Linked DNA regions of Nothobranchius furzeri. The protein of the gene in region 1 interacts with the protein of each later gene in a biochemical or structural test. Links are inferred from orthologs where the notes say so. Each region holds a gene or a part of one and is shown on either strand. Other genes may lie near its edges.

The links.
Region 2: the proteins of disks large homolog 4 (region 1) and lrp2b form a complex in vitro, tested with the Homo sapiens proteins (2 studies listed by BioGRID and IntAct, with this or other methods). The link is inferred for Nothobranchius furzeri from reciprocal best matches to the Homo sapiens genes DLG4 and LRP2.

The regions. Positions count from the first base shown.
Region 1 is NC_091750.1:46,442,188-46,445,944, forward strand, and holds the start of disks large homolog 4, read left to right. Parts: upstream 1-1,127; 5' UTR 1,128-1,988; coding exon 1,989-2,105; intron 2,106-2,196; exon of another isoform or gene 2,197-2,283; coding exon of another isoform or gene 2,284-2,325; intron 2,326-3,757. UniProt on the Homo sapiens protein: Postsynaptic scaffolding protein that plays a critical role in synaptogenesis and synaptic plasticity by providing a platform for the postsynaptic clustering of crucial synaptic proteins.
Region 2 is NC_091756.1:35,640,701-35,644,357, reverse strand, and holds part of lrp2b (low-density lipoprotein receptor-related protein 2), read left to right. Parts: intron 1-2,640; coding exon 2,641-2,757; intron 2,758-2,883; coding exon 2,884-2,994; intron 2,995-3,657. UniProt on the Homo sapiens protein: Multiligand endocytic receptor. Acts together with CUBN to mediate endocytosis of high-density lipoproteins. Mediates receptor-mediated uptake of polybasic drugs such as aprotinin, aminoglycosides and polymyxin B.

The DNA of each region.
Region 1 (3,757 bases):
CCGAAACGTGACAAGTTTCTCAATATGCGTACTTGTGAAACGTCACTGAAAATGGCATCATCATCAACACTGGCCCAAGTATTGTTCCAATCTACCATGGCAAGTTCCCTCAAGATTGCGTCAACGCAACCTTCTGCAGACTTGGGCCTGCAAGGACAGTGGCTTGTAATTCATCATGCTTAGGATTACAAACCGTTGTACCTCAAACTGAAAATGGCATAGGAGAAAGCTCGTAGCTCTAGAGTATTCATGTCAAAAATACAAATAATGAAGTCTAGAAAAATAAATTAAAAGTTGTTTCTTATTGTAGATAATTGTCCATCCATCCATTCATTATCTGTACCCGCTTGTCCACGCAGGGTCACGGGGGGCTAGTGCCTATCTCCAGCAGTCTACGGGTATAAAAGCGGGTACACCCTGCACAGATTGCCAGTCCATCGCAGGGCAACACAGAGACACACAGGATAAACAATTAACCATGCAAACATTCACACCTAAGGACACTTTAGAGACACCAGTCAACCTGAACGTCATGTTTTTGGACTGTGGGAGGAAGTGGGAGTACCTGGACAGAACCTGTGCATGCACAGCGAGAACATGCAAACTCCATGCAGAAAGACCCCAGGTTGGAATGTAAACCTAACGCTAACAACTGTGTAGCCCACCATAGATAACTGTGCGTGTAACCCATACATTTGCTGTGTGGGTTTTATAATACCTCAAAATGAAACTTAGCTCATCCACTATTAAAATAAAACCAACGTAGCTTTAAACAGCTCTGTTTGATGAAAAAGTAACATATTTTTCTTCAACATGCCGTGACGTAATGGAGTACGGTTCAGATCCAAATGCCGTCCTTGTACCCCCGTATTCGTTAGAACGGACTTTCTCCTGTACTTATCAAGAACGCACTTGTCAGTTACTCAAGAACATGCTAGCATAAACATCCCAGTTTTTACGTTGTGGACTTAAAGAATGCTTGTGACTGCACACCTCACTTCCAGTTGTTACTGCTAGGCGTTCTGGAAGATCACTGTTGGTCCATGAAACCCAAATGGTCCCTGAACATCGATGATGTGGACATTACCATCTTCCTGTGGAGAAGAGTGAGTTCAGATTCATCTGAGCAGCTCATCAGTGCCGAGGAGAATCACGGCTCCTCTGCATCAGCGTGAGCCAGCTGAGATCATTGGCACATCTGCTAAGGATGTCCTCTGGGTACCTGTTTCCAGCATGACCCACCAGGAGGAGGCCTCCAAACAGATTTAGTAGGAATGGAGTAGTTAGATTTCCTAGCTGGTGTGGGAATGCTTTGGTTTTCCCTCGGTAGGGCTGGAAGAGGTCGCTGGGGAAATGGGGGGAGGTGTAGGGATCTCTGCTAAGGCTGCAGTCTCTGCAACCTGGTTACATATAAGACCATGGATGGATGAGTGCTTCAGTCCTTCCTCTGTCTCGCTCACCTCAGAAAACGTCTTCCACCAAACCTTAGAATTTAAAAGTTTTAGCAGGACAGCTCAGAGTGTTATCATCCCAACAAACCATCCTGTTAAGATTCTCGTGGGAATTCTGCAAAAGCAGGACAGACATCAATGTTGGACCAGTTTTCTGTAGGAATCTACTTTTTCCCCTTCGGGAGAGACTAGACTGGCTCCAATAATGGCCAAAACTTTGTAGTCGTTCAGGATCTTCGAGGAGGATCAGCAGCATGAGTCTGATAAATGAAGACGTGTGAAGGAGGATCTGCACAGAGAATAAAATGATATGGATGCACAGAAGTGTCAGAAATCTGCATGTTGAATATTTATGAAACAAGTTCCCTCTTATGTAACAGACACTTTTCTATGGGCTCTTTATTTCTGACATTGTTTCAGCGCAGGAGCAAAAGAAAGAGGCAGCGATGATAACATACTACGGAGGGTTGATTCACTGTCTCTACGTCTCCTCTCCTTGTCCCTCCCTCACTCATCGGCAGCAGCCAACATATTTTTATGAGTCACGGTCGGAGCAGACCGCTCGTCCCGTCTTTTCAGCCTCTTGCCTTTAATATCAAGATATATCCAACAGCAACAACTCTGGCTTCCAGGAAAACTCTCGCTCCTCGTCTGGTACGACACGTCCCTCCCTCCTCTTGTCTCGCCCTCCCTCTCTTTTTATTTCCTCTTCCCCTTCCCCAGCCTCGCACCCCCCCCCCTCTCTCTCTTTCTTTCTTTCTTTCTTTCTCCCCATCCCTCCCCTCCTTTACTGCGGGTGTCTGGGAGGCTGTTTTTCCTCTGTCTCTTGCTCATGAAGGGCCGCACTAAGCTCCCTTCTCTCTGCCCATGTGTGGTAGGTAAATTCACCTCTGTGTTTGTGACGTTCTTCTCTTTTCCATCTCTCTGTTGCTGCCTCTGATTTGCATGTTAGCTCAGAGTCTGCAGGCTTGAGGGGAGCTCCGTGTCTACATGTGTGTATATTGCATCGAACATGCTCGTCATCACGCTCGTCATGGAGAAATCACAAACATGTGAATGGGGATTTGGTCATTCCTTCATGTGCATTTTCCACGTATGAACACGGCCTGACACATGTACCGGTGGATCAGGGAGCATGTTCTGAAATGCGTAGGGAGGAAAACTCCAGCAGACTTGTTGATTAAAACATTGTTTGTTCCATTTAACGGCAGGTTATGCCGTAGCTTTCTTTTGTGAATTAATCACGTTGGTGTGCATTTCCATCCTACAGACCCCAGTCAGGGCCAGGTATAAAACTGTTGTGGCAGGAATTTGATATATGATTGGTGTTTATGTGCGGAAGGTGTTATGTTGCCTGTGTAAGCCTGAGAGGGTTGGTTTTAATGGGGAAGCAGAAGTCAGCACAACACCGGATGTGAAATGAGGGTTTAGGGACCGTCCACAAACTGCAGCATTAATATTCAGCAACATCTATGTCCCATCACTGAACCCTTATTAGATGTTTACGAATCGTGTTTGTGTTTCCGTCTGATGTCGTTGCATTAGTTTAAACGTTTGCTGAAGCTTCATCTTTGGTTTTTGATGTGGCTCCTGTGGACGTTAAGCTCAGAGAATGGTTTGTTTTGATTCAAATTAGACTGAGTGTAGAAGGAAGGTGACATTATTGAATTTCTTTAAGAGTTATTGGTACCATTATCTAACCTGGACCGTCCCTCCCTGCAGGAATACTCCTCAGTTTTGTCCCTTTGCCGGGTTTCTGCTGTTGCCACGTTGTTCTGTTGTGTCATGGGTGATTCTGCAGGTTGAGTGCTTTGCAGTCTTGTTTCTGATTTTATTGTATTTCTGGTACTTCCTGTTTTATTTTGTGCATTCACTTCCTGTCTCATTACAGGCAGCTTCACGACATGAGGCTCCTCACTAATCAGCCTCATGTCTTGCACCTGGGTCCTGGCTTCTCCATTTAAGCGTCTTTGCAACAGTTTCCTTTGCCAGTTTGTCTTCTCCTGTTGTGTGATGTGAACCTGCTCTCAGAAACACTTGGTAAAAGTGTATTCAGTTAGATTTGGACTTTTCAGTTGTGTTGTACTCCAGGAATCCCTTCTGCTTATTAAAACTGGGTGAGCTCTGCATTTGAGTCCTCTTTGTGCTTTGATATGTTGCTTCTTTGTGGTCATTACCTTCATTGGGGAGATTTTGGTTTTCCTCTTCAGAGTTTTTGATTCAAACAAAAAAAAAATGCAGCATTAAAAGCTTTTAAACAACTCTGTTTCCAGCTAGATTACAAATCACTCCCCTCAGGCCTTCTC
Region 2 (3,657 bases), on another chromosome or scaffold:
ATTAGACTACTTTGTTATGAGTTTTGGCCGAGTTTGGCCAATCAGAATTTGACACATTTCTGAGTATTTGTAACCTAGGCAACACTGGAGCTGCAGAGCTCAGGCGCCACACCAGGGATTCACAATGACACAGGTGGAGAGCGAGGGTGCAAAACCAGAGGGACACAGACACAAGAGAGCAGAAGTTTGTCTGCGACCTCTTTTATTAACTAAATAAAGCCCCCGTCTAAAAGTATATAACTAAAAAAAAGTTTGAGTCCATAAAAGCAATTAAAACCTGTTCTTCAAGAAAACCCCCAAAGATACTTGGGCTCCTCCGAGATCCACAAAGTCACGCGGAGGGAATTTCCAGGAAGGGAAAGGCGACGTCCCGGCTTCGGCGTCCGACTCCAGCAGTCTCTGGTCTCGCTCTCATCAGGCGCTCGTCTCAGGCGTGATCTCCCGGGGGCTCTCGCCGCTCCTCCCTGACAAGGACAGATCACTGGGGCAGAACCTTTGTCTGTGAAGCAGTGCAATCTCTTTCTCCTCCCGTAGGATCGGCCCATTCGGAGCATCACCCAACATACAACAGTGGAAGCCGTCTACTCACGGATGCAGGCAGAGGTCCTACCTCCACCCTGCTGTCATTCAAAGGCGTTGCTCCCACTCGTTGTCGCTGCACGCCAAGGATGAACTGCTCCTCCCACGATCCAACCCGTTCTGTGCTACGTCCTCTTATATTAGTCCAGTCCCTCTGCCTTCTTGTTTCTTTGGTCTCTTTTTCCTTCCTGCAGTTCTGCAGCTTCCTTCCTTTATCAGCCTGCTAACTATGCACACTTGGTGCGCTTTCACAGTCATGCCCACCTCTTCAGGTGACTGTCATGTCAACAGTGGCAAAACAATCTAAACTAAACATGCACATAAAACCAACAACACACAACAAAATCATGCAATAACACAAAACTGTTAAGAAATTCCAACAATTATTAAAATAATTTAAAGCAACATAAAGCACACATTCCACTGTGTGACATATTTACCAACATCCCTCAGAAAGCCACGCCCTTCTTCAGATACAAAGATTTCTTAACACTGTGAATAAGAATCTTTAAAACTCTTATGTGAGGTGAATATTAACCTTAATATGTATCTTACTGTAATGTGTATGAGTGTAAACAATGATTAACTTGTTAAATCAAACACATAGTGATTTGTGATGTAAATGGATCATTGTAAGAAAAATATTCATTTCAAATTCATTGATTTAAGCACAGATTTTTCAAACATTTCATTTAAAGGGGCATTATGGAAGTTTGACAGCCAAAACATGTATGGAAATAATAAATGTCTTCTTCATACATTCTCCTGCAATGCCCTGGTCCTGTAGAATGAGCCCTGGCATTTTTATTGTGATTGCCTGTTTTTCTGTAAAATCACAGAAAAAGAGAGCTGCTCAGGTCGAGCAGGCTGCTTCATGCGCGTTCACGCTCAGGCATAGCCCGTAGCATTTGCTATCAGTAGCTTTAGTCTTTGTCGCTGTTCCTAACGCCTAGTGACAAAGCTAGCTACATTTCTGAGGACTCTTAGCTACTTTCTGTAGAACTTTCTTCAAGATATTTCCTACAAATTAGCAACAAAATAGCCATTTTCGCTCCGAATCGTTCTTTGAACATTGTTTCAGCTGTCATAAAGGATATAAATGTTACAGATACAAAGGACATTACTAGCAGTTTAGCTCACCCAGTAAGATGTCGGACTGTCGTGCAGAAGATCCAGGTTTGATTCTGGATGTGAACATAGTTTATTTAGAGTTTCTTTTTTACATTAATGGTCGATTTTTTTTACAGTAAGATGCCCAAATTTTTATTTGAGACTCGCCGAACGGCATTGAATTCACAGATAAAAAAGATGTGGGTTCAAATTTTATTTTGGAACAATTTTTCAAGCAAGGGAAGGGAATGATCTGAACATGCAGGACTGACCCATCTTAAACCTTTGTCGGCTGTGTATGAAGCATACAGAACCAAATTATTTAATTAATTAGCTGCACGTTCTCCTGCCCTCTGTCCTCTGGGCCACACACACACACACACGCACACACACACACACACACACAAACACACACACACACACACACACACACACACACACACACACACACACACACACACACACACACACACACACACACACACACACACACACACACACAAGGGACTGTCTCAGCTCTTATTTTGATTAAGGAGTGTGCACGAACAGCATGCCGCCTCGTGCACGAGACTACTATTGAAGCTGCCGTTATGCTTTTGGCCTGAAGGGGCAATCGCGAGCATAAAAATTCAAAACTCCGTAAAGTCCCTTTAAACATCTTGTTCATTCATCACATATGATTATTGTAAGTTTATGAGTTTTAAAATCATGGAGTCTTCATTTATTCAGAGTGAAGAATGTTGATGTCTGGCTTTCATGCAGTGAGTGCAGGAACCTTGGGAGAGAATGTTTGTCTGGGTGTTTTATCTACTTTATGGAAACACGCAATGAGCAGAACCTTCTGGTTTTGGAAGGCCAAACAGAAAGTGGATTTATTTCTGTAGATGAAAGGTTATTATGTTGGTTAATATATAGGTGAAAATTGACCCTTTTGGACGTTACATGTTTCAGGTGGACGAACCTGCAGCCCAAACCAGTTCACCTGCCAGGAAGGCCAGTGTATCTCTCTTAGTTACAGATGTGACCACATGATGGACTGTGTGGACAACTCCGATGAGAGGAACTGCAGTAAGATTCTTATTCTGTCTGTGATGCATCATAATAGTTTAGTATCCGATGTTTTGCTTTCAAATCAGTTAAGGTTTTTCTGAAATTGCAACTATTTAATAGCTGGAGTAAGCTTGTTTCCTACAGATTATCCACAGTGCACCGAGAAGACCTGTGCTAACGGGGCCTGTTACAGTAACTCTCAGCACTGCAATGGACTGCAAGACTGCAGGGATGGATCTGATGAACTTAACTGCAGTGAGTAAATTAAACAAAACACCAACACAGACCCATTATACCATGCACAAAGGAAATAAGTGTTGAAAACCTGGATATCAGACATCTTTTGAACCCTGTGAATCTAAGGGGAAGAGGTTGCGAGTTGGGCTTGGTTTCTACAGATGCTTCCATTGGACTGGTATCTAGAGAGTTTGGGGGCCAACTCTTTACTTCTCTGGATTTTGGTCTTTGTCAGGTTGACTAACATTAGTCAGCAGCAGTAGCTCAGGATGTACAGCTAATTGTTGGTTTGTAGGATCGATCCCAGACCCCAGCAGAGAATGCTGCTGTTGTGTCCATGGGCAAGATATGTAACCCGCATTGCCTGCTGATGGTGGTTGGAGGGATCGGTGGCACTTGTGCTCGTCAGCCTCACCTCTGTCAGTGCACCCCAGGGCAGCTGTGGCTACAATGCAGCTCACATTACCATCAATGTGTGTGTGTGTGTGTGTGTGTGTGTGTGTGTGTGTGTGTGTGTGTGTGTGTGTGTGTGTGTGTGTGTGTGTGTGTGTGTGTGTGTGTGTGCGCGCGCACGCGTGTGTGAATGATACATTGTAGTGTAATGCGCTTTGGAGTCCCATAACTCTGAAAGGAGCTTTACCAGTGAGGGTCATGATGAATGAATGGCTAGTTTATTTTCAA